Ovis aries: one gene and its partners. The protein of the gene in region 2 interacts with the protein of the main gene of each other region in a biochemical or structural test. Links are inferred from orthologs where the notes say so. Each region holds a gene or a part of one and is shown on either strand. Other genes may lie near its edges. The genes, in order: FRMPD4, SNTB1 and SLC16A7.

Region 1 (10,232 bases), on a different chromosome or scaffold from region 2:
TGTGTGTGAGAGTGTGTGTGTGTGTGTGTGTGTGTGTGTGTGTGTGTGTGTGTGTGTGTGTGTGTGTGACTAGTGCAGGTTGTTGTGGGGAGGGAGAGTGGTTGAGCAAGGATGTAAGAGAGCTCTGGGTTTAAACCCAAGGGTTGGCAGATTTTTTTCTGTAAAGGGAGGGCCAGAGAGTAAATATTATAGGTTTTGTGGGGTCAACAGCTCCATTCAGCAACTACTCAACTGTTGTAACATGAAAGGAGCCATAGCTGACAAATAAGCAAACAGATGCAGTGACTCAATGGCGACCCTGCAAAAATTATGAATGTGACCTTATTTGAAAGGAGTCTTTGCAGATATAAGTAAGGATCTTGAGATGAGATCACCTGGAATTATCTGTGTGGGACCCTAACTCCAATGGAAAGTGTCCTTATAAGAGAAAAGCAGAGGCACACTTGGGCCATACATAGAAGAGGGGGGAGGCTGAGTGAAGATGGAGGCAGACACTGCAGTCATGCAGCTACAAGGAATGCAGATGGCTACTCGGAGCCGGAAGAGGCAAAACAAGATTCTCCCCTAGAATCTCTGGAGGGGGCCTAACCCTGCCAGTGCTTGGGTTTTGAACCTCTAGCCCCTCAAACTGTGAGAGAACAAGTTTCTGTTAAGTCCTCAAGCTTTTGGTAATTTGTTACGGCTACTCTAGATATTTAATACAATGTACATGCCTGAGTTTTAATAAAATTTCATTCACAAGAACACGACTTGATCCACGGGCCATGGTTTGCTGACCCCTGGTTTAGACCAACAAGAAAACTGAATAGGTCAGCAGGCTAAAAGCAATTTAATAAGACTTTCCTAAGGTCCAGAGATGCTTAACTACATAAGTTCAGGGATTTGCAAAGTACTTGAAGGGTTAATTTTCAAGACAGTGAAGAAGAAAGAGGGGTTTACTGTTCCTAGCTAGAGGTCTTGATGAAGGTCTTTGATCAGTTTGAGACAAGAAGAAAACACACACACTCTCTCGGCTTTCTTCTAGAAGGGTGTCCTGATTCGGCTTCTGGAATGATCTAGGAGACACAGAAGGATGTCTCCTAAGATGAGCTGGCCTTAACAGACTTCAGACTCTACAGTTTTTTGAGTCTCAGGAGATCGTTGGAGGAATTTCTGAAGAGAAGGGAGGCTTTTCAGCCATTAGAGGAAGCTGAGCTCCGAGCTGCAGCTCTGCTTGGGTCAACCAGTTAGTTGCTTTTTGGAGTGTGCCATCTCTCTCCCTCGTCCTCTCTTATTAAACACGTGCATGCATACATGCAGGCTTGTGTGTGCTATTCGGAACATGTGCCCTCACCCTCAGGCTCACTGTCGAACCAAGAGAAATGACCAAAAGGTTGAAGCCCCATTATTTCCCGATGGTGATATGATACTTTTTGGAACTAAGTTTTTGCCTCATGAAACTTTATTCAATAACACATTGTGAGTTGCTATAAATTGGACAGAACTGAGGCCCCTATTACTGTAACCATCTGTAGAATGGTAGCTTTGGCTTTCCTCTTGCAGCCATATAATCTTAACTGTCCATGGGGAAAAGGTTTGATTTTAACAATACACTTTAGGATTTTAAGATTTTCCAACACAAAAGAAATATGTTAAATTGTGGAACTGCTCTTTGTAATTTCAAAAGTCACAGTTCAATTGCTCTAAATCTCCTTGCTCAATGAAAGCATGTGGTCATAAAGATATTCACCACTGAACCCAGCACACACATCCACCTCCTCTTTGATTCAATGTATTTTTAATCAAACAGACACTTCAAGGTGGGTTGGGATGAAATCTGGCTGAAAGTCCCAGTCACCTTCCATCATGCCTTGCTCAACTCTCTGGTTTTCCTTTACCCTTTGACTGTAACTTTTTCCACTCAACAAGCTGTCACAATAAACTGTGTACCAGCCTATCTATATGTGTGCCTAGCTGCATATTACTATATTTTCAGGGAATAATAATTTTTGTTTCCTGATAAGTTTAAAAGTAGATGTTCCTTCCTTTCTTTTCTCTTCCATTTTCTTTCAAAAACTGACAATGGAATTTGTTCTCCCAGAATTTCCTTTTCTTTTAAAATAACTCTAATTATGGAGCCTCTAATTATACATTTTTCATGGCTCAGTATCTCTGACTTGAATGGTAGGCTCTGTCATCAGCCACATTTACTGACTTTCCACTATAGATAGAGGAAAAGTTCAAACACTGAAGAAAAATATGCAAACTATTATATATAGAATGGATAAACAATAAGGTCCTACTGTACAGCACAGGGAACTATATTCAATATTGTGGGATAAACCATAAAGGAAAAGAATGTGAAAAGAATGTATACACACACACACAGATATATGTATAACTGAATAACTTTGCTGTACAGGGGAAATTAACACAACACTGTAAATCAACTATACTCTAATAAAATAAATTTCAGAAAACAGTTCTAGAATAAATGAAAACCATCTTCCCTCAAAGAAACTCTCAGTTTAACAGCTACAACCCCCCTTATCTGCACTTTTGGGGCTATTTCTTCTTGTCAAAGGGCTGAGATGAATTATTTGATTTTTGCCATTTTGATGCTTCTGCTAAAAAGGTAATATGATGTCCAGGGTCCCTTCTAGAGCCCCAAGTCCAGGGGTTGGACAATTTCTATGTCTTCCCAAGATAGAAGTCCCAGAACCCTGGACATGAGTCTGACGTGGGAGGAGGCACTTGGCGTCTGGATGTAGGGCTCCTTAATGAGGGGTCAGCTGCTTATAAATTTGGAGGCTCACAACTACTGGGCATTCCATCCTGAATTCTCTGCACCCTGACTTAGCTCTGGGAGAATGAGGCAGTTAAAAATCAGACAGAAAGGCTGAGACCTACACCCTTCACAATAATTAAATCACTGCTTTGGAGCTGCTGCTGCTAAGTCGCTTCAGTCGTGTCCGACTCTGTGCGACCCCATAGATGGCAGCCCACGAGGCTCCCCCGTCCCTGGGATTCTCCAGGCAAGAACACTGGAGTGGGTTGCCATTTCCTTCTCCAATGCATGAAAGTAAAAAGGGAAAGTGATGTTGCTCAGTCATGTCCAACTCTCAGCGACCTCATGGACTGCAGCCTACCAGGCTCCTCTGTCCATGGGATTCTCCAGGCAAGAGTACTGGAGTGGGGTGCCATTGCCTTCTCCACTTTGGAGCTAGGTACCATATTTGCCAAATGACATGTGAAAGAAAGTGAAAGTCGCTCAGCTGTGTCCATGGAACGACGCTACACAGTCCATGGAATTCTACAGGCCAGATACTGGAGTGGGTAGTCGTTCCCTTCTCCAGGGGATCTTCCCAACCCAGGGATCGAACCCAGGCCTCTCACATTGTAGGCAGATTCTTTATCAGCTGAGCCACAAGGGAAGCCCCATGTAAAATGTGATTAAAAAAAAAAAATCAACATTTTCATTAAAAAAATATTAGAACATATCAGAAGTATTTGGATGTTTTTGTGTTAAATTTGGACCTTAGATGCTTTTATGGGTCTACTTTTTAATTTTTCAAGAAATATCCTTACTTTATTATTTTTTGAAATATTAATCACTTTAAAGTAAACAAGTTTGGTCAACATGTCTTAGATCATTCTTTTTAATAATTCAAACCACAACAACAACATTGTACCAGATTGCTTTGTCATACTAGATTTTGCTTCTGCAGTGCTAACTCACCCCTAGTTTATATCAGCAATACATTGTCTGGTCTCAAAATATGGAATCCTTTACTTCTCTCTCTTCCTATATTAGCCTGTACGTCTATAATGATTAAATCTTCTCATCTCTCCTTAAAAGGAAACATCCTTATTACTGTTGTCAGTTGGCATGGGGAAGGGAGGTCGGTGCCTCCTGAGTTTGGGAAGAGAATACCTGTGTCCTGGGTCCCTGCATTTTTCTTGTTGGCCATGTTAAATATTGACCTCCTGGAATCCACAAGCAGACGGTAGTATCCAGCCGTTAAGCAGGCCAGGTTCATGGCGTCTGAAGACTCCATCAGGAGCGTGATGGGCTACACAGAAGAGAACACTTTGGTTAAAACATTCCCCCTTAATAACCTTCCTCAAGTGACAACAGTGACATTTGTGTTTATGAAATGTGAACAAACGAACTTTTGGAGTGACTGTTTCATTGGAGAAACACAAATGAGGGAAAGGTCAGGCATAACAGAGAGCCTGAGTGAAAAAAGTTCAGGTGACACCATTTTGAAAGTCTAGACATTTGGAGTCTTTTCCAAGTTATCTTGGGTTAAAACAAATAACACTGGTTTTGTTTCAAATCGTTAATCTTTTTAAAAGTCACAGGTACGGAGTCAGTTAACAGATACGAATTCACTATCTGAAAAAAAATCACAGGAAGACTAAGTTTGGGTTCATGGTGAAAATTTGTGTTGAATTGAAGTAAAAATCAAGTGGAAATTACTGTTAAGACTGAATGAAAAGTGTTGAAGAGATCCAGGAAAAGGATACTTCTAAAAGAAACTGTAAATTCACAGGGAGGGGAAAATAGACATAGGATTTGAGAAAAGGCCTTGCCCCAACTTTCTGGAAACATAATTGGCCGAGGATCTTGGGCATACGGGGAAGCAACTATCCTCATTGAGAAAGGAAGGGTGGATATGCTGGTGTGTTCTTGTTGAAAAAGAGAGAAAGTGAGAGGAAAATAAGGGAGCAAGAAAAAAGCAGGCAACCGGAGAGGCACAGAAGCAGCGAGATGACAGGTCCCTTGCTTTCACTGCCAGGGGCAGGACACTGGCCAGGACGGTAGCCTTGGGTGATGAAACCTAACTTCCGCCCCAAGGCCCTGATCAACTCGACTTGCTGCCTTTTCCTTCCATTTCAATGGCAGTCTCCCTCCAAGCAGCCCTGCAATTCTTTTATATAAACAGGAACCCATCCACAGGGTCCTGTCACCTCCTTCTGTTTGAGATGGATTTTCCCTGTTATCAGGTCTGTGATGACTGCGCCCGATACACGCATTCTTCTGCCCCTTTTACATGACAGGCTACATTGCTCTTAGCATCTTTGGTCAGGGACCAGGACAGGTGTGCCAAGTCTCCCCTTGGACATTCGTTGCCATGAAGTCAAGTGCAGTGCCCTGGATTCAGCCCATGAAACACCATGGGCCATGGTCGGCATGCCTGAGCTCCACGCTCTCCCTTGACAAGTCCCTTCTGTTGTGTAGAAGCCCATTTCCACGTTCTCCTCTACTCTTAATCTGCCCCTCCCACAGCACTGGGGGTCGGGGTGAAGCTGGGAGTGGGTCCTTCCCCCATTCTCAGAACACGACTTCTCACGGTTCAACCTGTTTCCTCTGTGGAGTCACTGGGCCTTTTCTCTACAGAAACGTCTCATACATTAATGCTGCCCAAATCCAATGACTCATCTATGACTGGGACAAGACGGCGGGGACAGGGGACCTGGATTGCTTCCTGTCAACTTCTGTTTGGGGAGGAAATGTCTGCCCTCTGAGGACAAACTCAGATGGCTGTTTCCAGTGAAATGGCCATGATATTCAAGGGGCCAGATGTTCGGCCACCACTAATTGCTACAGCGTGAAAAGACAGATTGACTGAAATACTTAGTCTTTCCAAAAGAATGAGCACATATGCATGCTACATCAAAAAGGGAATGGCGAATCTAAACAAAGTTGAGAAGACTCTCCCTGACTCTCTACATAAGAACCACATATTCTAGAAAGTAAGCAGGGAAACATTTCCCCTACTCCCCATCACTCTGGAGCCAGACAGGACCTTGGACCCAAACTCATTTGCTTTCTCATATAGAGCTGAAGAGATGGAGCTCAGAGAAAGAAAGGGACTTGTCCCCTAATCACAGAGCCGTCTAGTGAGGACTGGAGCCCTCATGTCTGAGTTGAGTGGATTTTTTCTTTACCCATTTCACCACTGATGGGCTGCACAGATTGAAATTTTGCTTGCTTTGTAAATATCAGAAGCACTATCAGGAAGCAAGGTCATATGTCAATATCTGAAAGACTTACCTTCACGTCCAGCACATGGAGCTCCACCCTCACCAAGCTCTCCTCTTCAGTAAACATCTCGATCCTGTTGACATGGCTGAAGTCAGCTAAAAGAGCCACCAGATTGGTTTTGGTGTTTATGACATGGCTTATGCCATAGCGAGGTCCCACCAAGAGGGTCACTTCTGAGCGCTTTTCTGCCTGCTGAGAAAGACATGTCCACAAAATTTTAAAAATACCAGACCTCTGGCAATTCCCTGGTCCATGCTTTCACTGCCCGTGGTCCAGGTTCCGTCCCTGGTTGGGGAACTAAGATTCTGCAATTTTCATGATGTGGCCAAAACAAATAAATAAATAAAATAACAATGAAAATGCTCTGAAGCACCAGGCATAGTTGAACCTGAGAGTCTGTTTTTCTAAGATTACATTTTCTTTAGAAAGTATTCCCAGGTTATATTGTACTAAATCATCCAATTAGAAGAACCAGATATATGATTACAGCAAGGCTCTGATAAATTATGAATAATGTAGGAAGTAAATGTTATCATAGCATGCATATTCATTATCATGAGAGGCTATCAGAAATGAGGATTTTTTTTTCTTTTTCAAATCATTCTGGCCCAATGATTTAAAAGGAGGCCATTGTGAGAGTGCACCAATTCTCTCAGCTCTTCATATTTCCTTTTCTGGGGCATTCTGCAGTGGTGTTATCTAGCTTAACATTTCTTCTGATATTTTCAGACTAGGGTGCAGTCAATTAGAAATGAGGGCTGGAAAAGATTCACAGCTGATTTGCTTTTGTCATCAAAGGCAGCTCATTCAAGACAGCCTAGGCAGTGATATTTTGAAGGCTTCTGTGACTTCCACAAAAAAGCAAGAAAAAGAAATTACCACTAATGTTGCCTTGAACACACGGCCCCCATACAGTCGGAGGTCACTGAGGAACTTGAGATAATGGACCTTGGCTTGCAGTGCAGAGAGCTGAGGAGAGAAAAGAAACCGCAGGTGTTCACTCCATCAGGTGTGGTTTTGTTTCTGCTGGAGACTAGCCGAAAGTAAAGGCAAATGAGAAGGATGCTACTACTGCCAGCAGATGGGGTGTGACAAGGGCTCTTCATGAAGAATCAAAGTAAGCTGATCAAGGGCTGTAACAGGACATCTAGCTTAAACATTTTTTTATTGGCGGGGGGGAAGTATAGATATGCTGAGCCAGGGCATTCAACAAGTCAGAACAAGATAATAAAATTCTCCACTGAAATGGGGTATGCAGAGTTTGTGGGAGCTCTTTTGAATACATACCTTCAATCCATAGAAAGCCTTTTAAACAGGCTCTACCATCCCATCTTGTTTCTTCCAGTCTTTGTAAGATTTTAGGGAAAATGAGCTTTTTGAGCATCATTGTGGAAATGTTTTAAATTCCTATCTAAGTCTCTAGTAATGTAATTCCAAGAATCTAGCGAGTTTCATAAATGATTGACAAATGAAATTTTATCCAGTAAAATTGATCCTTAAGAAGACTTAAAAATGCAGATTCCCATATCCTAAAAAATACTTGATTGAAAAAAGTCCACATTTCAATGTAAAATATGATATAAAGCTACTATATAAATATAAAATAGATAAACAACATGGTCCTACTGTGGAGAATAGGGGACTATATTTAATATCTTTGTAATAATCTATAATGGAAAAGAAACTGAAAACATATATATACACACACATATACGTATAACTGAATCACTTTGCTGCATACTTGAAGCATTTTAGATTAACTATATTTCAATAAATCTTTCTTAAATTAAAAAAAATGAAAGAAAAAAGTCCACATTTCATAACAAATGTTCCAGAAGAGTTTGTTAGGGGTGAAATTTTCCAACAAGGTGCAGAATATCAAGTGGCAAGGGCTGTAAAACTCTGTTTTCAACTGCAGATAACTTGCCAACTCATTTGTTAACTGTACCTCAACGCACTGTCCTTCATATAATTGTAATTTAGGACCAATGATCCAGCCTACTCCTTTCAAAAATCCAAAGCACTTTGCAAATTGATGCGAAAGCAAACCTCTCACTCTTAACTAGAAAAAATGACCTTTATAGAAGGACATTGATCGACCAATCTTAGAGCCGTTATCCAAATTATTACAAAACCAGTGGGCTAGGCTTGGGGGAAAAAAATCACACCAAGTCAATTAAAAGAAAAGTAGCTTTGGGCAAATCAGAACTGACATTTAGAACATCTTGACCCATGACATCCTACTATATTTCCATAGGCTGAATACTTACGGAAACTGAGAAGTAAGTCAAAGGTGACTGGTAGTGTGTCGAACTTGATTACATGTTTAAAAATAGTCATTGGGGTGATGAAGGAGCAGAAATAAGTATGTGATAGCCAATAAAAAGGACTTAAAATCAGATACTAAGACCAAGAAACTACCCACAGAAATAATCTGTACTCCAGTCACACATATATCGATGGCTAATATCATTGAGAAAATGTTCTTGGGTTGGCAGGCTGCCTTCAGTTTTACAGTTTACATAAGGCTCCTTCTCTCTCTAGTTTCTAAAACCTTTTGCTTTTTATTACCAATAAACATAACTTTCTATTCTGACCAACAGTATGTTTTTAAATGTTCTTTCTGTTTCTTCTGCTCGATTAAAAAAACAAAAGATTTTAACGCTAATGATGGTGAGTGACAGAACTGAACTTATCTTCTCTCTAAAAGTACAGTTCAGGTCAGTGGTTGTCAATTGAGATGATTTGGACAAAATCTGGAGACATTTTTGTTTGTCATGATTGAGGGGATGGGTGCTGACACCTCATGGATAGAGACCAGAGATAATGCTAAATATCACACAGTGTGCAGGACAGCCCTTCTCCCCAACCAAAAATGATCTGATCCCAAATGTCAAGAGAGCCAAGGGAGAGAAACTTCGGTTTAATTAATGTGGCATCAAGTCTGCAGGGACCCTTACTGACTGCTGTGCACTTAAGCTGGTCTGAGTGGTATGCAAAACTATGAGGAAAATATGAAATTATTTGGCAATTCTGTCCTCTAATCCCAAGGTCTTAGAGGCTTTGCAAGGTTCTCCTGCATGCACATGTGAATGCGCACAAACTGTACAATAAGGAGTCTATAGTGTGCAAGGAATAAAGAGGTCTCCATAAGAATACTTTTTTTTTCATTAGTCTTAGAAACATGTGAATAGTTAAAGTAAGAGAAGGTTATATAGTGTTACAGCTTCTGAAAATCTGGTGCTGAGTATTTTATTCATGGGCTAATTTTAAACATTTAAAAAAATGCATGCAAGCTCTCTCTTTAAAATCCATTTTCTATTAAGATGCAAATGTGATACCTTTTTACCGGGTGGTACCAAGTTTTGATTTGCTTTGACAAGGTGTGAAAGTGCTTTCTTTATGTTCTTCTCTTTCATGCTTTGCAGCACAGCAGAGGGAAGAAAAGTCTCTAATCCCCATTCTTTTCTGCAATAAAGAGCAGATCTTTAATTCCACATTCTCGTGATGATTAGTTATCTAAGACAAAATGGCGCTCTGATGTTTGTTGGAACAAACGAATTCTTAGGAAGGCAGAGAATGGAGACAAGTCCCCAATTAGGGAAGCAACCTTTAATTTACACTCAGGAAACATACTATTTGATCATTAATCCATATGTTTGCATTTTAAAAGAAATATATTCCTCACTGTCCAGAAAGGAGCATTTGGGATCAATGGAAACTGAAGAGACACTTTATCCATCACACCTCCGAGTCTCTTAAAACTCATTGACATGTCTGAGTCTGTACTTCCAACAACTTTTCCCCATCCCTTTGTTTATTCTCATTGTCACCTCCCCCTGTCCGCCCACGGTCGTCTTTCTCTATTCCCTTAGAAGGATGAGTATACTTCCTTCATGGTTCCAAACCATTCTTTCCTCCCCATCTCTCTCACCAATGGTGATTTCTTTAGAAACACACAATCCTCTTTTCTCCCACCCAGATAATGTCTATCTAACTCCTTCCATCAATAGTTCTTGTTGAGGTGGGTAGCGGGTTTCCGGTATGGAGTCAGGGTAGGATTTAGGACCCTTAAGTGTGTTTGGTACTGAAAGGGAGATGTAACCATCTCTCATAGGTGTGGCTATACTAGGAAAAAACAAACAATGGGACTGGGTTAGTATATTCTTGCCAAGAATCTAGTTCTCCAACAATGCCTAGA
Region 2 (10,232 bases):
AACGATTCCCCTGCGCACTCGCTTATTCCGTTCTTTCAAGTTGGAGTGTGTGTGTGTAAACACAAATCATATTCAGAACTCTATTTTTTTCTGTTTATCTTTCCTTTATTTATTAATCATTGTTTTATTTTCTCTTTTATTTTTCTTTTGTCCGAAATAGGACCATTAAAGACACCTCAATAATAACTGTAAAAAGACTACCTAAAGAATGATGATTCAAAAAATTTGTCTGGGGCATAATGCGTTTTATAGTCCAGGGTGGAGATGAGCACTCAGGGGGCAAGCAGGGCTTGCAAGGGGTTAAAATGGTTTGAGACTAACTTGATGGCGGAAAGGCTTTTCTGTTGGTGCGCCCGGCCCGCCTGCAGATGAGAGCACCCACGGGGAGAGCAGTGGCCCCGTCAACACGGCCCACAGCTCACAGGCCCACGAACATCAAGGGGACGCGGTGGCAGCCCCGTTCGGAGGGGTGGTGTGCCTGACCTTGGCTGCAGCAGGCTCAGAGAATGGCCGCCAGAGTCCAAGGGGAGAGACAAAGGGGCCGTGATGAGAGCGGCACCAGACTCTACAAATTAAATAAAGGCGAGAAGGACACCATGGCGTCATCCCATTCACTCCTGAGTCCTGCGCCCTGATTTAGAGTGTGACCGTGAATAAGAGGCCTTCCATCTTCCAGGCCCCAGATTCCTCGTCTTTAGAAAGAAGAGGCGTGTCTGATCACTCTCTCGGTTCAGGCTGCTACAATGCATTATCACACACTGGATGGTTGAAAGAACAAACCCTCATTGCTCACAGTTGTGGAGGCTGCAACTTCAAGACCAGGGTGCCAGCACGGGGTCCTGGTGAGGGTCCTCTCCCTGGCTGGGAGAAGCCTCCCTGCCTGACGCATCTTCGTGAGGCGGAGACATTGCTCTGGGTCCTCACTCCTTAGAAGGACACCAACCCTGTCACGGAGCTCCACGCATCTCCATGACTTCATCTAAGCCTCATGACCTCCCAACGCCCCCACCTCCAAATCCACCGCTTTAGGGATTGGGGCTTCAGTCTACAGATTCTGGGGGGAGACAAACATTCAGTCCAGAGAAGTCACCTCTAAGTTCCCTTCTCTCTGACTACATATACGAAGATTTCCTATGGCCAACAAATCAGATTTAAACCGTCTGTCCCGCTTTCAAGATCTTCCATAATTGGGAGCCACCCAAGGTACCGGATTTTCTCATCACTTTCCTTCAGGATAACCCCACTCCCCTTTAGGCCAGTCTCTGCTCTGCTTTCCCTACAAAGTGTGAGCCACCGCATGGTAAGTTGCTTCAGTCGTGTCCTACTCTTTGCGACCCTATGGACCATAGCCCGCCAGGCTCCTCTGTCCATGGGATTCTCCAGGCAAAATACTGGAGTGGGTTGCCGTGCCCTCCTCCAGGGGATCTTCCCGACCCAGGGACGGAACCCGCGTCTCTTCCATCTCCTGCACTGGCAGGCGGGTCCTTTACCCCAAGCGCCATCGCCTCCCTTTCTCTCAGGCTCGTTCTCCTTGGGGAGTGACTGAGTTCTCCCCACTGACTCAGGGTCATTTCTTGAGAGCCATTCTTCTAGTCCCTGGATCATCTCACTGTAAAGAATAATGTTAATATAGAGTTCTCTTTCTGTGTGGTGAAGAGGAGGCTTGAGGATCTGCACTGAAAAGAATCTTAGAAGGGAAACTCTGGTTGCTTTCTATTGTTTTAGTTCAGTAATTGCCAGTTCTAAAAACTTGAAATTGAATATAATATGTACAAACTTTGTCCCAGAGCTACTGTTATTAGTAAAAAAAAAATAAATCAAAGATTAACAGTATAGGAAAAGACAAAGGATATCAATTTAAGATAAATTACAGCTGAATATATATAGGATCACCTGTTATATCTTTACAAATACCAAGTGAATTCTCTGATATTTGTGGTAATACAAGAAAGCCACAGTATTAAGGATTTGCCATTTGTTGTAACATTTTGCTAAAAACCATTCTTATGTCTCCACATCAGGATTCAGTATCAAATATTTATTCAAAAAAATTCCAGTTTGGATTTGCTCCCTTGGACTTGATCTAGAGTAATCTTTTAAGAAGTTTTGAAGATGAAGGCAATAAAAGACATTCTCCCTTCTGATAATTATCCATGCTAAGTCATTACTGATTGCTCTTACCAGCATAATGCATGATACAATTTAAAGAAACATCTGATGATCTGAAAGTACATCAAAAGAACAATCATATTCTAAAAACAGAAAGCTTTTTATGCACCTTTATGACTGCTCCATTGGAATGCTTAATGTTTCTACGGATAGTTTTGGATAAACAAAAGTCATAAGCAGACAGTTTATAAGTAAGAAAATGGAACCTTTGGAAAAAATGCTAATATCACTACTAATGATGATGTAATAACCATTTCTCAACTATCCAAATGGTAATGGTTTTAATTGTAGTTGGTGCTAAAAGAGATGAAAGAACAGTACCTTCTAGAGTTGACAGCATCTCGGTTACTTGCGAGCTGGAGGGATGTGTGTGCTAGACAGCCTCCCCTTGCCTCCAGAGCCAGGCCCCACCATCTGCTGCACTGCTCGGAGCCCAGGGAGGCTGACCTTAACTGAGCACCTGTGGTTCCTGCCTCTGGCTTCCAGGCAGCCTCAACCCAGGGCAGACACTGGTAGGAGATCAGCAGGCAGGGATTCACGGGGATTGTCTCTCTCCTAAGAGACCACAGCTCTCAGTGAATGGCCCTTTTCCAGAGCTGCAAGTCTTGCTAGCTTCAGGTAGCAGCTCCTCTTCCTGGCTACTTCCAGGTAAAGGATGGCAGTGACCTCTCACCATTCAGCTCCTGGTTTCCTCTGTCTCGGCCACACTCACAAACTGTCGCTATGTTAAATCCCGTCCAGTCACCCCTTCTGAATTTGCCATCATTTCCTGCCAGACACTAACACACACAGCACATCCCTGCATCCACTCTGGACCTAACCCAGTAAAGACGTTTGTCATCCCGATCAACCCCTCCCCATTCCCTTCTACAGCAACTGTCGGTTGCTCTTGTAGCCGATTTTCCATTTCAGAACTGCCTCTCCTCATCCATCAGGGCACAGTTTGGATAAGGCTGACCTTAGAACTTTTGTTGGAAATATGGGAGCAAAGAGCCTTCTCTTCACTGAGGCAGCCAGCTATAAAAACAAAACAAAAAAACCACCCAGACAAACCTGGAACTCCTGGGACGCTTGCTAGGGTATAAACCAGGCAAGCGGAGAGAGTGCAAGCCATGCGGAGGCAGGCCCGCTGGCCCCCTGTGAGCCCTGGACCCCGCCGTGCCTGATGCTCCCCCAGACCCTGCCGTGCCTGAAGCTCCCCCTGGACCCCGCTGGCCCTCTGTGAGCCCTGGATCCTGCGGCGCCTGACGCTCACCCTGGACACTGTCATTATCGGAAGTGCTAGTCCCCTTTTCTGTGCTCAAGCTGATCTGAGCTTTCTGTCACTTGCAACTGAAAGATCCCAGACTAACAGGACTGCTCCTGAAGCAAACACATGTGACTGGAGAGAGTGAAGAGCAGAGGGTGAGAGGCTGTGGCTTCCAACACACTGCCGTCCAGACCTGCAGTGCTGTTCTCAGCAAGCAGCCTCACACGTCAGGTCACGAGACACCACCTGTGGCTGCTGTCCATTCTGATCCTGGTGTCACCACCACCTGCACTGGCCCTTTAGTCCTCTGCAATCTGCAAGAGATGGGACAATACCACAGCAAACGACGCACTTTGTGTTGAAGTTGGTGGCTGGGACCCACGCACGAAATGAAGCAAGCAAAGAACAATGGTGGAAAACAGCCAAATGCCCTGTTCAAGCGCCTTCTCAGATGACAGGCTCGTTGGCAGGAAAGCTGTTATTGCAACAATCATTATTCCAATTTACCGCCTATTAGAATGTGAGTCACTGGGAGGTCAGACTGTCCCCAAAGCACACTGTTCCTGAGCACTCATGGTCAAGTTCAAGGAGCAGCGATCAGGTGTAAGGACAATGGCAAAGGCTCAACGCTTTGAAATCAAGAGGATGGTTAACTCCCAGGAGACTGCTGCAGAGTGAGTTTCCCTACCTTCTTCAACACATCACAGCACTTGGGGAAAGAAACCAGAGCGACAGTGTCACCATGACCCCAGGCCCTTTCCAGGGCAGCTGCCCTCCCTGTACTCATGCCTACACGCCTGTCCCCTCCTGCCTAGCACTGTGCCTTGCACAAAACAGGCGCTCAGAAGTGATGACGTTGAGAGCCTGCTGGCTTAAGAGTACAAGTAAAAGATGATATCTGAGAAGAACACGCACAGAGTAGTTGCTTAAGACATCTTCGCTGTTATTATCATCATTGTATGGGTATGTGCAGTTAACCGCTCAGTCGTGTCTGACTCTGCAACCCTATGGACTGGAGCCCACCCAGCTCCTTTGTCCGTAGGATCTTACCGGCAAGATTACAGTTGCTTTATTTGCCAAGTATCTGTGTTAACAGTTAGGTCCATCAAAACCCACAGAAATCTCTTTTTAAAGCAATGATTCCTACTTCCTTACCTGCCAAGAAGACCGTTCTATTGCGCGTCTGAGTTATTTCCCCTGCCCTTCCCCTTCCCATGCACATATGAGAACCAAACTGTCCGGCCGCTTGCTCACTCATGCATCCAGACAGTAGGCAATGAGTGACCACCTGCATTTTGCCACATGCTGGACTGTCTGTGGGGAAACAAAGTTGCCAAAGACACAGAGCTCCTGCATAATGCAGACCCGCTGGAGACGGACAAGAAATCCCAGGGAGAGACTCAGCCTGTGGAACGAGGCATCTGATTTCAGGGGCTGCAGCTTGTGCTGGGAAGAAGCCTGGGTGGGGGATGTTTCCTTACCTTTTCTGCGAGCCAGCCAAGGTGCCTGATTTCCCGGCCCCCAGCAAGGCCCATCGGGCCCAGCTGCTCGCGGGCCTCGGCGATCACGTGGGTCAGCAGGTCACTGACGGTTGTGTGGATGGCGCTGAACCAGGCCTGGGCCGTGGCGGAGTCCTTGGCCCTCAGGACCACACTGTGCTTAGCATCTGGAGAGTGGATTTCAAGCTGCCTAGAGGAGCAGAGAGAGAAGGGTTAGGAGGTTCCCTGGCAGATTTTGTCTCCTCAAGCCCTGAGCTACAAAAGTGAATTAATTTGTTTTTTTCTATCATATATTTTACTTTTAATTTTTTTAGCTTTTTAATTAAGGGTTTTTTTTTTTTTTTTTTTTTTTGCAGTGGGTCTTGTTTCTTTTCCCCTTTTGGCCTCTCCATGAAGCATGCAGAATCTTAGCTCCCTGACCAGGGATTGAGTGGGCACTCCCAGCAGTGGAAGCACAGAGTCCTAACCACTGGGCTGCAGGGAAGCCCCCAACTGAGATTTTTAAATTTATTTTTTAATCGAATAAGAGAGTCTTTAAACTCTAGAGTGATTTACAATTTTCAAAAGTTTCACATAGGTGAGTTCATATCATCCTATGATAACCCTTTCCCTCCCTCCTATCCCTACATCGCCTCTCCCCACTAAAGTGAACTAATTCTTCATTCTTACTTTAAGCTTCCTTTGAATGGCTTATCTTAATGGCCTCATCATCCATCCATCCATTCACTCATTCATCCACAAACACTGTGCCGAGGCATTGGCTGAGCTACTGAGGGCATAGCTATCTAGTCACCTGAACTAAGGATGCCTGGCCTTCCTGTTATTCAGCTGTGTCTTATTAGCAGCATCATATTAAGACTTTCAAGCTGTGAGCTGATATTAATCTGCCTTACTTCTCCATCCCCAGAGGACTTTAACAATATGCTCGCGTCCTAGCAGATGCTGGTGGGATGTAGACTGAAATACCTATCCTCCTGCTTAATTCTACTGTTCATTATTAATTGTGAATATTTTAGTATCAGAGACGGCCAGAGTTTTGCATTCCTCAGGAATCCTGTCTGTGGCACATTTCTCTACCTCTTCATCTTTGTGCACGTGTAACGCAAGGCTTCCCAGTTGGCTCAGTGGTAACGAATTCACCTGCTAAGAGGGCATGCAGGTTCGATGCCTGGATCAGGAAGAGCCCCTGGAGGAGGGCATGGCAACCCCCTCCAGTATCTTTGCCTGGAGAATCCCATGAACAGAGGAGGCTGGTGGGCTACAGTCCACGCGGTCGCAAAGAGACACAGCTGAGCGACTGAACCTGCAAGCGATGAAGGAGAGAACTGGCCGGGGATGAGGTAACAGTGGGGAAAGAGATGCACTAAAATGTGTTTTTTGTTGTTGTTGTTTTGTTTGGTTTGGTTTTTTAAACCTGCACTGGGAGGCTTTTGGGATTTTAGTTCCTGGACCAGTGATTGAACCTGAGCCCCCTGGTGGTGAAAGCTTGGAGTCCTAACCACTGGACCACCAGGAAATTCCCAAAGAGTTATATTTAAAGTCAAACTTCAAAGTTTATGCAAGAACTCCAACGGGATCACCTGAGATTCAGCATGAGATTTGCATACTGTAATTATATGGTAAAAGGCAGAAGTTCTTGACAGATGCTCTTGGTTTTTAAATTTTTTTATTGTGAAGCACTTACAGATTTACACAGTATTGCAAAATCTGGACAAAGACGTCCAGGACACCACCCACTGTGTTTACTCTGATAGTTCCACTCACCCACTCACTCACTCATTCCATTCACTCATTCTATTCACTCGGTTTACTCTGATAGTTCTACTTTATTTAGCTGTAATATATTATAATGTCAGGGCTTCCTAGATGTCTCAGTGGCAAAGAATCCACCTGCCAACAAGAGATGCGGGTTCGATTCCTGGGTGGGAAAGATCCTCTGGAGGAGGAAAGGGCAATCCACTCCAGTGTTCTTGCCTGGGAAATCCCATGGAGCAGCCTGGTGGGCTACAGTCCATGGGGTCAAAGAAGTCAGACCCAACTTAGTGACTAAATGACAACAATACGGTATCAAAACCGGGGCCCTGGCACAGTGGAAGTGTGTAGCTGGACCCGTTTACCACGTGTAGATCCCTGTAAACACCACTGCAAGCAAGGGACAGAACAGAACCACTCCATTACCCTACGCGTTCCCCCAGCCACCCCTGGGGGGCGCTCACAAGTGCACCCGCATTCCCCTGAGCTGCCCCTAGGGGTCACAAGTGAGGCCCGCGTTCCCCCCGGCAGCCCCTAGGGGTCACAAGTGAGGCCCGCGTTCCCCCCGGCAGCCCCTAGAGGTCAGACACTTTACCATCTGAGCCACCAGGAAAGCCTGACCCCAGTTCAATTTCTGGGTCGGGAAGATCCGCTGGAGAAGGGAACGGCTGCCCACTCCAGTATTCTTGGGCTTCCCTTGTGGCTCAGCTGGTAAACAATCTGCCTACAATGCGGGAGACCTGGGTTCGATCCCTGGGTTGGGAATATCCCCTGGAGAAGGGAAAGGCTACCCACTCCAGTATTCTGGCCTGGAGAATTCCGTGGACTCTATAATCCGTGGGGTCGCAAAGAGTCAGACACAACTGAACGACTTTCACTCTCACATCTTATATAATAGAATTAAAGGGGCTTCCTAGGTGGCCCAGGAATAAAGAATCTGCCTGCTAATGCAGGAGATGCAAAAGATATGGGTTCGATCCCTGAGTCAGGAAGATCCCCTGGAAGAACAAATAGCAAGCCACTACAGTGGTCTTGCCTGGTGAGACCCATGGACAGCAGAGCCTGGTAGGCTACAGTCGATAGGGTTCCAAAGAGCTGGACACAACCGAGCAACGGAAGAACAGCCACAAAGCTGGGTGGGACAGAGAGCGACCCAAGGCCAGAAAGCTGGTGACGTCGGGATTCAAGCCATGCCAATCAGGCTCAAAAGGCCATGCCCTTAAACACTGCATTATGATGTCTCTCCTTCAGACAGGATGGCGCCCAGTAAAGGTGCATCTGTTGTGTTCCACAGCTGTCCCAAGGCATCACCACCAACATGCGTGCGTGCTCAGCTTCGCAACTGTGTCCGACTCTCTGCGACCCCGAGGACTGTAGTCCACCAGGCTCCTGGTCCTTGAGATTTTTCAGGCACGAATGCTAGAGTGGGACGCCATTTACTCCACCAGGGGGGTCGTCACCAATAAATATGCCCAACAGTGTCCTCTTTAGCTCCTGAGTTTAAAGCAACAATTCTGCAGATCACCTGAAAATCAGAAGTCCCAATGTAACCTGGCCTCATTTACATTTGAAACCAGCCTTTTAGAGTGAGTAACCCTTTTTACTCATAAACTTTAATTACAGAAAAAGGAGGATTTAAAAAGTAAAATATCTCTAGGGGAGTTTTAGCAATAATTAGCTTTTTTTTTTTTTTTTCAGTAAGAAATCTTCAAGTCTCCTCACTAAAAATCCAAAGGTTTCCTGTGATGAAACAGGGTGTTTTTAAAATGACATTTGTCTTTACCAAGAAGAAAAATACTCTCAAGTCTCTCAGGCATTTTTCAGAGAAATGGTTGGTCAATCTATGGAGAGTTTTCATTCCTTCCCAAAGTTTTTGGAGAAGGAAATGACAACCCACTCCAGTGTTCTTGCCTGGGAAATCCCATGGAGAGAGGAGCCTGGCAGGCTACAGTCCACGGGGTCGCCAGAGTCGGACATGACTGAGCGACTAAACCGCAACCACCGCCAAAGGTCTTACTCTTCAGTGAAGCTGACTAGCCAAGCACAAACTAGGGTTCTCCGAAAGTATCAATGAGAGCTCAACTGGCTTTTCAAATTATTCTATCAATATCCACTATTCTAGGAATTTAAAACACACAAATATTTCTCTTAGAATATTTTCCTTTGAAGACCTGGATTTTTTTTTTTTTTATGACAGCTTGGGAAGCAGTCACTCATCAGGAATCACACATATGTGCAAAAATGATGCCAGCAAAAAAGAGAATATTTCTTTGTTGAGTTGCCAGCGTACCCAGAGGAGAGTTGGTTTATAAAAACAGAGGTACAGGCTAGTGAGGAGGGGGCCCATTTCTCCCAGATTTTGACAGCATTTATCCTTACTGTTAACTTTTAAGTCAGCTTTTAAAGTACAGCTTATAGATAGAAAAGTGCACAGATTATACTGTGTAGCTTAAATGTATTTTCACAAAGGGAACACATTCGAGTCAACCACCAGTCAGACCAAGAAACAGAACATTCCAAGTGTCCCAGACACTCTCCCCTTCCCATTACGTCCCTTCAAATAACCCCTATGAGGATTTCTGTCGCCACAGATAACTTCGTCTCAGGCAAAATGGATGAGGTTCTACTTGCTTTCATTCGCTGTTATTCTTGCCTGCACTGTCAGAGGATCTCAGAGAGGCCACGCTTAAACACCAAGCCCTGTGCCCTCCCGTGGTGGTTCCCAAAGTGTGACCACTGACCAGCAGAGCAGAATCTTCTGGGAGCGCGCTGGAGGTGCGGACTCCTGGTGCATCCCTGGGCCCTCTGAATTAGGGACTCTGGGAGCGCGCTAGAGGTGCGGACTCTCCGTGCATCCCTGGGCCTCTGAATTAGGGGCTCTGAGAGCGTGTTGGAGGTGCGGACTCTCCATGCATCCCTGGGCCTCTGAATTAGGGGCTCTGGGAGTGAAGACAGCAAGATTCCTGCACGTAGTGTCAGTCGCTAGCCGTGTCCGACTCTCTGGGTCCCCGTGGAGTGTATCCTGCCAGGCTCCTCTGTCCACAGGATTCTCCAGGCAAGAACACAGGAGTGGGTTGTCATTTCCTTCTCTAAGGAATCTTCCCGACCCAGGGATCCAACCCAGGTCTCCTGCATTGCAGGCAGATTTTTTACCAAACGAGTCGCCACCTCCAGACAAATATGATGCAATTTAAGTTTGAGAAGGGTGCTCTATAGACTCACAAGAAAAAAGCCCTGATCTTGGTTGTTTGCCAGGGTTCCCAGTGGCTGAGGTGAACATGCTGAAAGGTGATCTGACCTTCCCCCAATCAGTGTCAAAGGAGAAGCAGAGAGGACGTAGAAAAGGGGGGCCTGTGACTTTTTACAGTCAAACACAGCAGCAGTAGCAGTTCAGCACTGAAAGTATTCTTCAGGAACCTGGGAGTAGTTTATTATTATTTTTAAACATCTAATTAAACACAGATGTTTGGACTTCACCACAGAACTATTAAGAATTTCTAGAGGTTGAGGCCTGGGTAAATGCTTTACATGGTCCACAGAGTATATGGATTAAGGATCATGGC
Region 3 (10,691 bases), on a different chromosome or scaffold from region 2:
AAGCAGCAGGTGCCAACATTGCCAAAGGCTGCGGATAGTGTGAAGTCAGTGAAGATTTAGAGCCTCAGAGGTCAGTTATAACCTGATTATAAAATGTTAATACTTAATATATCTTACAAGGAAGAACTCACTCTTTTTATCCTTTGAGGAAAACACAAAAGAATTTCTTATTGGAAGATAGACCGATTTCAAAGATAATTTCCTTAAACATTTTCAATTTGATTTTACAGGCCAGTAATTTTCAATCACGTATAGTACCTTTCTTCCAAAAAGTGTATTCAATGTCAGGGGACACTTTTGGTAATTATGACTAAGGGGAAACTATCAGCATATGGGGGACAGGGGTCACAGACACTAAGTGTCCTGCAATAAAAGCAGCGTTCCTACACCATGCAAAAGAGCCCTGCCCAAAATGCCAACACTGTTACCTGTCAAGAAACACTGTTTATCACTGAATGTTGTGGTAGTGGTGGTTTAGTCGCTTAGTTGTGTCTGCTTGCAACACCATAGAGTGGAGCCTGCCAGGCTCCTCTGTCCAGGGGATTCTCCAGGCAAGAATACTGGAGTGGGTTGCCATTTCCTTCTCCAGGGTATCTTCCCAACCCAGCAATAAAACTGGGTCTCTTGCCTTACAGGCAGATTCTTTACCAACTGAGCTACAAGGGAAGCCCATCACTGAATGAATCCTTTTGTATATTTGAGAAAAACTGACAGAACTTCAGCTTCTGACATTTTAGAGAATCAATTTCAAACACAGGCAAATATTATTAATCAGTTCATCCCTTAGAAACTTCTCAAGCGAATGCATGCCTTTTTGGTTTTACCGTTTATTCACGTCTAATCTAGTTCCCAAAGAAATAGGTCTTCAAATAAATTACTTAGTAGAGCAGCTTCTTATAATTTATAACTCTTCTATACATTAGCTCTAATCAGAAACTGTGTAGGAGTGTGGATGATTAATAATACTACATGTCATTGTGCTATTAGGTATGAAACAGCCAACGTTTAATGTAAACACTTTTTAAAAAATACCAGTATTTTGTACAGACCTTTACTTATCTAAACAAATATTTCTCTGTGTTACCATTCATACTAGATACTTTCATTGAAATTTTTAATTTTTAATTAAATTCCATGTTTTAATTCCAAACATGACCAAAAATTAATCAGCAGTTCAGATAACTAAACCAAATTATTGTTGTTGTTTAGTTGCTAAGTCATGTCTGACTCTTTGGCAAATCCATGGTCTGTAGCCCCCCAGGCTCCTCTGTCTGTGGGATTTCCCAGGCAAGAACACCGGAGTGGGTTGCCATTTCTTACTCCAGGGCATCCCACCAACCTAGGGAATGAACCCGCATCTCCTGCATTGGCAGATGGAGTCTTTACCACTTTACCACTGAGCCACCAGGGAAGCCCTACTAAACCCCACAGTAAGTCATTTTCTTGTGGGGCTATCTTACCTGTGCATAACTTTTAACAAAAATATCTTTACACCAGCATCTTGTAGTTGTTACCCAAATGCCTTGTAAAATTTTCATGAACTTATCTGGGATTTCAATAAAGGTTAATAAAAACAAGTGAAACTTCCACGTAGGTAGATTAGGACCCTGTAGTCACCATTTCAGGGACCTATTGAGAAAATAAAGCTTTCTCTGTAAGTTTTTAAAAGAAAGTTCTATTACTCACAGAGATTTAGTGTTTGCAGTTGTTTCTCAACACATTTCCTACATACTTTGATCCAAATAGTTTTGAGAAAGTCAACAATGATGACCTCTCAATGAGAGTTCATTCCAAGGTTTATTTTGCAATTCAGCACTATCATGCCATCTCCTGAGAAACTTTGCTTTTCAAAGGCTTCCCAAAAATCTGTTAAGAAGAATAAGCCAGTGAATCTTATAAAAACCTATTAGTCTTAAGGCCAGATATTTAATACCTGACACTAGCTACCATGTGTTTTTTTAAATAAAACATTTATTTACTTGGCTGGCACGTGGGATCTGGTTCCCTGATCAGGGATGGAACCCAGACCCCTGCGTTGGGAGTGCAGAGTCTTAGCCACTGGACCACCAGGGAAGTCCCTGCACCTTTTAAAACAAGAGTTAATGCAAATATGAAAGATTTGGATTTTTTACATTCATTTTTTATTGGAGGATAACTGCTTTACAATGTTGTGGGGGCTTCATCAGAGACCATATACTGAGTTATTTCTATGCTTGTGCTCACACAGTATAAGTAACAAAGGAATCATAAAAAGATCCTCAACTATCCTGCCCCCAGGGCAGAGTTCCAGGAGGAATTCCCTGCCAGACTGAGAGTTGTAGGCAAGAAAGGATGCTCACTCTTCCTTTGTTTCTCCCTCCCTCCTTGCTTCATTTTTTTCTATAATCAGTTGTTCAGGACTATCACCTGCCAGGCACTGCACGAGGAAGGAAGAACACGATAGACGAAGTCCCTGCCCTCAATCAGCTTCATGCAGCAGAAGCCATACTACTCAGTGGTTAAAGTCAGACAGCCTACCTGGGGGCACACCCCCCACTCAGCCGCTTGCTAGCTGTGCACTTTGAGTAAGTTTCTTAACTTTGCACCTCTTCTGTAAATGTGAGTATCGATAGATCCTCCTCTGAGGATTGTTAAAGTGATAAAAGGAGTTAACAGACAGTGCCCAGAACATGGTGAGCATTATAGAGAAAATGTTATAGTGACTATACTCTTGGGCTTCTCAGGGTGAGGGGATTAGACTGTCCAACGTGCAGAAAAAAACTTGCTGCTCAATCCCTTAAAATAAAAAAAGAAAAGAAAGAAATCCATTAGCAAAGACATTCTTCAGGGAAGGGATGTCCTGCCTTCATAACAACAGAAAATCCTGTTACTTGTTTATACGGGGTCAACGGGCAAATGGATGGGGCTGGACACACAGGTTTCTGAAGCAAGGTGCCCTACTCACATGTGCCTCTTAGCACATCTTACATTTCTTAAAACTGCTACATCCTTTCAAATTCCTTGAGAAACATGCTTCTTCCATTGAGAAGGAAACAAGCAGCAAAGAGGACAGAAAGAAGATCAGCCCAGATGACTAGATATTTTTGTTTTTGTTTATTTTTGAAAGCAGAATTCCAACCTTATTTATCTTTGTAACCGCAGTGCAGTGTCTGGAGTGATTTTAGGGTTTCAAAAATAGCTACTTTATTTTTGTCAAAATATATTTTTATATATTTTACTTTTGGCAACACTGGGTCTTTGGTGCTCTCTGTAGTTGCCAGGAGCAGGCTCTACTCTTCAGTGCGGTGTTCAGGCTTCTCATTGCAGTGGGTTCTCTTGTTGAGGAGCAGGGGCTCTAGGTCAAGTGGGCTTCAGTAGTTGCAGCACATGGGCTCAACAGTTGTGGTGCACAGACTCAGTGCCCTGAGGTATACGGATCTTCCAGACCAGGGATCAAATCTGTGTCCCCTATATTGGAAGGTGGATTCTTTATCACTGGACCACCTTGGCTAGTTTATTTTTCAGCTGTTTTCAGTACACTTTATTCCTCACAATAGCACTTCAGGGTAGATACCACTAATTTCATTGTATGAGTAAGAAAAACTAAGGATAAGATTGTTGAATAATTACTTAGTCTTACAAAAGCGAAGAATTGAGCTTGAAATCCAGGTCTAACTCTAAAGTTAATCACCTTTTTCCATGTGAATGTCTCAAAAAAAAAAAGTTTGATAAATGAATACATAATGAAAAGCAATCGCAGGAGACTTCTTTTACTTCTGATCCATGACCCAAGAATATAACTCTCCATAAAGTATATTTCTTAAAGTTTCTTTGCCCTTTTTCCCTTCAGGAGGGCTCAAGGCCAAAAATATCAGCTAAATATTATAAAAGACTAAATGCACGTCTACAAATAAACTGAACATTTATAGCAAGGGGCACTACTTTGTTCCTTCACTTACCATTATTGAAACAGCCAAAGGGGAGGGGAGTACGTAATTGCAAACTGCTGATGTGAATTTTGCAAAAAAAAAACAACAAAAAAAACACCTAATTTCTGACTTTATGAGTTGTTACACAACACACTGAGTTGCCTAAGTAATCTTTCCCTTTTACTGAGATCATTCGGTTGCCGGCTTAGATTGCTTTAAACGCAATGTGCTCAGAAGCAGAGAGTGGGGCTAAGATTGCCTCACCAGGGCCATGAAAGGGTCACCTCATTCAACCCTCATCAGTCTCTGCTGCCAGAACCCAGCTCTAATTTTTCAGCCAAGTTCCCCAAAAATGCACTTAGTACTTGAGATTCCAATGACACAGCACAGTCAAGCCAAGGGTCCGTTGAAAGTCTGCACCCTCCTGAGTTCCCAGTTTGGATTTACCATAACGCACTGGGTGCCAGGAAAGGGCATTTTGTGCTCACTGTTTCCTTCCGCCCACGCTTTTCCGCACCACCCTCATCACTGCTCGTGGTTTTACTCCCCTGCTATGCCCCTTAACAGACCCGAGAAAGAAGATAGGACAGACTAGCTTTACTACTACTACCAGAGGTACTTGTAGAGTAAACCGCACGTTTTCTCTCCTGCGTGTGTTGTGTGTGTAATTTTAACATCCCTGACGTAGATCACAAATTTCCCTCCTCAGCCCTACCAGGAAAGTGGCCTTGGTCACAATCCTCCCCCACCCCGCCCTGCCAAGACCAGTCTGCAATTTCGCGGAAGTTAGGGAGAAAAATGGGGTGGAAACAGTAGCCGCCCAAGCAGCATCCGCCCGAAAGAGGAGGCAGTTCACACGTGAGCCGCCTCACTAGCCTCCTCGCTACCTGGCTGGGCCTGGCACCCCCAGCGTGGCGCCACAGCTCTGCCAGGAAAAACAGCCGGGAGGCGCAGGCCCTCCTCCGCCCGCGTTAAGTAACGTTCCTTTTCTGTCCCCGGGTGTGTCTCTCCCTTACACACCTTTCTTTCCTTCTGCCTCGCCCCCGCCAGGCTACCTGGGACCCAAAACATAAAAAAACTCTTACCCCCACCCCGACCCCGGTATATCGTCCCTTCTTCCCAGCCTCTCTGAGTGCGACCATCTGCTAAAAGAAGAGGCTCCCTATACACGCTCACCCCCACCCCCACTCCCGCCCAATACCCAGCTTCGCAGTCCCGGCCCACCAGGTGTGCTGGCGGGCACGGGGCGAGATGCTGCGGAGAAGCGCCAGGTGGGAACCTGCCAGGGAAACTCAGACGTCCAAGAAAGGGGGCGGGGGCGAGGAGGGCGGGATACGGCGCCGGGCGAGCCTCGGTGCCAGGGCTCCGGGTGCGGGCACTGGAGGCCGGGAGCGCGCGCCGGCGCGGAGCACTCTCCGCGCTGGACCCCTGGGGACTCCCCTCCCCGACGCGCGCGCGCCCGGAACCCGCGCCCGACTGCGCCCCCGCAGGTCCCGCGTTGCAGTGCGCGCGCTTCGGTGACGCGAGCTCTCCGGCGGCCGCTCAGGGGATTTTTGTCTATATAAGGGCTCGCGGGCAAACTTGGCTTTGGCGCGCGTGTCACAGACTGGCCATTAGTTTCACACGCGCGTGCCGTTCCCCGGGCAGCTCGGGTGACACGCGCGCTCGCCTTCCTCTCCGCCAGCGTCCCCTCCTCCTCCTAGTCCTCGTTTCCTCCCGGGGTGTCACTTACTTGACCTGGTCTCCGGCCCTGGGTGGGCGCTGCAGCGGTCCGTCTGCCGCCAGTTCGCCTCGCTATCAAAGGGTGCATGGAATTATTTTTTTATTTATGTCCCTGGACGAGTCCTCGCCCGCCGCCGGAGGTGGAGGAGGAGGCGGCGGGGAGGGGAGGCGCGGCGGCTGAGCACCCTAGTGGATGCCGAGGAGCGCGCGCCGCGACACCGGGGGAGGGACGGGGAGGGCACGGGGAGGAGGAGGGCGAGGGCTCCGTGAGGGGGAGGTGGCCGGGGAGGGCGGCGGCGATCCCCCGGGGCTTTGCGGGAACCCGCGGCCGCGGGTGGGCGCCGGCTGCAGCCCAGTGACTCCAAGCCGACTGAGCATGCTCCAGGCGACTGTCAAAGACACTCGATGGCTCGGAGCGCTGCACTGCAGACTACTTTTGACCCTGAGAGAAAGCCACAAGTCTGGTCGAACAGTTGTTCCACAACGGTTGGGACGTGCTTTACTAGAAGTACTTGGCTCACAACCTAGGAGCCGGTGTGTGGTACCTTTGTGTAGGTACGCTGGGCAGTAGGGCAAGCTATAGGCAGGGAAAGCCGTACGAAAAGAGAACCTGGCCCAAGGCACGGAGACAGAACTCTGAGTCTCCTTGTGAGCTCGCAGTTAAAGTGTTGGGCCATTCTTCAACTGAAGTCTTTGGGGGGGCACAAGAAGAGGGATCACTGCGGTGATGCAGATTCGGTTCATCCACCCACTCACTCACTCTAAGGGAAAAATAAATTTTACCCCGAGGGCGGAGGAGTAGCACAAAAGGACTTGAAAATGTGAAAGAAGTGAGAGAAAGTCATTTGTAAATGATTTCGTCTTAGTTTCTCAAATTATATATATTTATTTATTGGCCACATGGGCTGTGGGGGTCTTAGTTCCTTCATGGACAGAACCACGCCCCCCGTGCAGTGGAAGCAGAAGTCTTAATCACAGGACAGATAGGGAAGTCCTTCAAATTATTTAATTCCTCAAAATAGGACTTAGTTATTTGCTACACACACGCTCTCGCTTACACTCACACTGCTAGGAATAATGGTAAAATCAGTCTTGGTTTGATTTCTTATACCTTTGTTTCCTCCCCCTGTCTAGACATGTTTTGGGGGAAGTTGGAAAAAAGAAGTGCTGGAAATGAACATTTACATTGGCTTCCTCTAATATTTTTAAGGTTGAAGTATTACTTAAAGAAAAAGAATCTGGAAGGATAATCAGGGTCTTGGATTTGAGAAATCATTTTCCAGTTTTTCTATCAATTACTGACCCTCCCCCTTTCCTGCTCCCCCCCCAAAATGAAAGATATAAAAATGTTGCATTCATCTTAGGTAAAAAATGTAACTTACTAGAAGCTTTTGTTTGTTCTAGAGTTAAATCATTTCTAAACTGCCAAGATAATTTAATTGAAATAATTGCAGTTTTGAAGCCCAAGGGACAAAGAATCAAAATGATGTTATGGTAATAATTATGATAATTACTTATTTATTAAATGTTTATCACTGTCAGACACTGTTCTAGGTACTTACATGAATTATCCCAATTAATACAATAACACTATTAGATTTGTTGGCTGAAAAAAATACACCACATAGGAGTTGTGAGTTGTTTAATTTGAGGCAAAATGAGGTCTACAGCCTGGAAGCCAGCATTTCAGATAGCTCTGAGAAACAGCCCTCAAGAGCCAGGGTGAAGGTCAGTATTTATGTGACTTTGGTGGAGGTGGGGTTACATGCAAACCAGCACATGTTTTTGCAGAAGGTTGCTGCTAGTCACTGAGGAGTAGAGGTCACCATGAAGGGTTTTAATTCTTTTCTAGATATGAGAAGATGTCAGAATCAGACTTGTAAAACCTTCTCCTGAAAAATATCTAACTATCTAAAGGCCTTTTCTGCCAGTTTTTTCCAGAGCACAGAGCGTCTCATTCCTGATCTCCACTCCGAACTCCTTTAAGGGGGTGTTGAAGGTCAGCAGCTGCAGCACCTCATGATTTAATCCTGTAGCAATAGATGGCAAGTGCCAATTTGTAGCTGGCAGATTATTCACATTTTACAAGTGGAAACTAAGTAGTTGGCTAAATTCACATTTCCTTGCTTCTACCGCAGCTAGTCTGTAGGCTGGAATTTTACTTTCTGCTAATAGTTTATTACTATTACAAAATAGTAACAAAATCAACTTTTTATTGCTATTGGAAGATTTAGGTGAGATGATATATGTGAAGTTGATGGAAGATAATATAAGATGAGTTAATAACGTTATTGCTGCTGCTGCTGCTAAGTCACTTCAGTCCTGTCCGACTCTGTGCGACCCCATAGACGGCAGCCCACCAGGCTCCCCCTTCCCTGGGATTCTCTAGGCAAGAATACTGGAATGGGTTGTCATTTCCTTCTCCAATGCATGAAAGTGAAAAGTCAAAGTGAAGTTGCTCAGTTGTGTCCGACTCTTCGCGACCCCATGGACTGCAGCCTACCAGGCTCCTCCGTCCATGGGATTTTCCAGGCAAGAGTACTGGAGTGGGGTGCCATTGCCTTCTCCAAATAACGTTATTAGTAACATCAAAAAGTGGGGAAGACAGTATTGCTCACAGAAGGGTAGTTTAGAAACTAAATAACTATGGCAGAAATTCAAGAAAGAACTTTAATTTCAAACAAACAAAAATCTGCAAACTGACACTTGGATAAGATATAATAGACATTAGATAATGATGGAATGTACACGTCATTTTCACAAGGAAGAATGTTAAATTTTAAAAAGAAACATTAAGATACATACTTCAAGGTCATTTTCTTGAGTGTTCACTACTGACATTTTTCTAGTTCATTCATGGTTTTTATTTTACTTCAAAGAAGAGAAGGAAAAAGAAAGATCCTATTCACCCTTTTCCTTCTCTCTGATTTTTCTTTTATTGTCCTATATTTCTTTTTCACCCTGTACTTTTCATGGCCTCATATTCTTGGCCTATTTAACCCATTTACAAACTCTTAACCATCATTACTCAAAGCACTGTATCAAAACTGTAGCAAATTTTCTTTTTAAGTCTTGTTTTTCCAACAATTAAAACCCTGGATCCAATTTATCTAATGCCCCAGTGTTAGTATGTGGGTGTTCATTTCTAAATTGCCTTGTTGCTATGGCTAGGCCTGCTATGTAAATATTTGGTTGGCTTAGAGAGGAATCTGTGAAGAGTATTGCTGCTGCTGCTGCTAAGTCGCTTCAGTCGTGTCCGACTCTGTGTGACCCTATAGATGGCAGCCCACCAGGCTCCCCCGTCCCTGGGATTCTCCAGGCAAGAACACTGGAGTGGGTTGCCATTTCCTTCTCCAATGCTTGAAAGTGAAAAGTGAAAGTGAAGTCACTGAGTCGTGTCCAACTCTCAGCGACCCCATGGACTGCAGCACACCAGGCTCCTCCGTCCATGAGATTTTCCAGGCAAGAGTATTAGGTAGGAATAAATCCAGTCAATTTCTCCTATGACTTGCAATCTCAATATTCTTCAGAAATTAAGAAAAAAATACAACTTAGGGGGAAATCAAATCTTATGATCAGAACTTGAAATATTTTTGGTAAAATTTGTGCGTTGATTTCTATTCGTAGGTGAAATAACAATAGGAGAAACAAGGGATAGCGATAGACTAAATATTCCTAGAACAAATAAACATATACACAACATGCAAACTAATAAAGCCCAAACTTATATTACACACCCACAACCTCATATTCCAGATTCTATGCCCCTTCATTCCTCAGTCATGCTGTTGTCTTCTCCAATTTTTCTGTCTTTTCTCATTCCCTACCCTCTTTCCTGTATCAAACTTGTCTAAGTCCTTTTTTTTTTTTCCCCCTTCAAGGCCCAGCATGTAAGTCATCACCTGTAGCATTTCAAGGATTCTTCTGCTAAAAATGAATTCCCATCTTCCTCTGTGCTCTTTCCCATGGAACATGGCATATGCCTCTATTTGGGACAGTTTTTTTCTGCTACACAGTTGGCCATATTGTAATTTTTTTCTGTCTACCTGTCTTTTAGGCTGCTGGAGAGTAGCGATGACGTTTAATTCCTCTCTGTAATCTTTTAACATCCAGCACAAATTCCTGCAGATAGAAGGTAATCAACAATGTTCGCCCAATGGAGGAAAAGGATGATAGTGTGACTGTTTTTGGAACAGACATGTGCTAGAGGCTCCTGGCACTAATCGTATCCATGATCTGCATGTTACTACATAACCTGGTTTCTCTTACAGTTCTATTGGGATTAGATCTAACAGAGTATGAATGAAAGCAGCTTACATAATTTCTGGCTAAAGAGTATTAAGAACCAGTAATTCTCCTTCATCCCTGCCTTTCTCTGCTCAAATAGCCTCATGTTTCAGATAGACATGTTTCACTACAACATGGAGTCACTAACGATAAAGAAAGGCTGCTTGACTTGCACTGGACTCTGTGTGAACAAGAAACTGTTGTTGTGTTCAGCCATTGAGATTTCAGGACTTGTCATGAGAACAGAGTCAAGCCTATTCTGACCAATGGAAGATATTATTTAATAAGATTATAAATCATAAGGCATAATGACCCAATGAAACACTGAGCTTACAAGAATGCTCTAATGTGTTCTTAAGTCAAGGCTCTCTCTCTTTCTTTTTCTATGTGTGTGTGTGTGTGTGTGTGTGTGTGTGTGTATATATATATACATATATATATATAATCACAATCTCATCTTGATTCCAAACTAGATATACAACAGCCTTTTCTTGACAAGACTCTGTGACACCAAAACAGGTATGTGTGTATGTGTGTTTACTACACACAATAGAGTGGTTTTAACTAAAGACAGAAGACTAAATGTCCCAGTATTCCCCTCAGCCTAAGCGAAAGTGAACATGTACCTGCCATCCAGTGGCAGCCTACTGTGACAGAGACTGTAGCTGGCGAGCAGCTGTGAATATGATTGCTCTGACCTGGTTTCATACAATGTACAAAATATGAAAGACCTCACTCCACTGCTTGTAGATTTGTATCTTGAGTGCCTCTATA

The links.
Region 1: the proteins of SNTB1 (region 2) and FRMPD4 interact in a test that uses a peptide from one of them, tested with the Homo sapiens proteins (2 studies listed by IntAct, with this or other methods). The link is inferred for Ovis aries from reciprocal best matches to the Homo sapiens genes SNTB1 and FRMPD4.
Region 3: the proteins of SNTB1 (region 2) and SLC16A7 interact in a test that uses a peptide from one of them, tested with the Homo sapiens proteins (2 studies listed by IntAct, with this or other methods). The link is inferred for Ovis aries from reciprocal best matches to the Homo sapiens genes SNTB1 and SLC16A7.

The regions. Positions count from the first base shown.
Region 1 is NC_056080.1:10,825,023-10,835,254, reverse strand, and holds part of FRMPD4 (FERM and PDZ domain-containing protein 4), read right to left. Parts: intron 9,500-10,232; coding exon 9,373-9,499; intron 7,001-9,372; coding exon 6,911-7,000; intron 6,224-6,910; coding exon 6,041-6,223; intron 4,053-6,040; coding exon 3,914-4,052; intron 1-3,913. UniProt on the Homo sapiens protein: Positive regulator of dendritic spine morphogenesis and density. Required for the maintenance of excitatory synaptic transmission. Binds phosphatidylinositol 4,5-bisphosphate.
Region 2 is NC_056062.1:94,869,642-94,879,873, forward strand, and holds part of SNTB1 (beta-1-syntrophin), read right to left. Parts: intron 5,108-10,232; coding exon 4,900-5,107; intron 1-4,899. UniProt on the Homo sapiens protein: Adapter protein that binds to and probably organizes the subcellular localization of a variety of membrane proteins. May link various receptors to the actin cytoskeleton and the dystrophin glycoprotein complex.
Region 3 is NC_056056.1:160,017,180-160,027,870, forward strand, and holds the start of SLC16A7 (monocarboxylate transporter 2), read right to left. Parts: upstream 5,829-10,691; 5' UTR 5,641-5,828; intron 1-5,640. UniProt on the Homo sapiens protein: Proton-coupled monocarboxylate symporter. Catalyzes the rapid transport across the plasma membrane of monocarboxylates such as L-lactate, pyruvate and ketone bodies, acetoacetate, beta-hydroxybutyrate and acetate.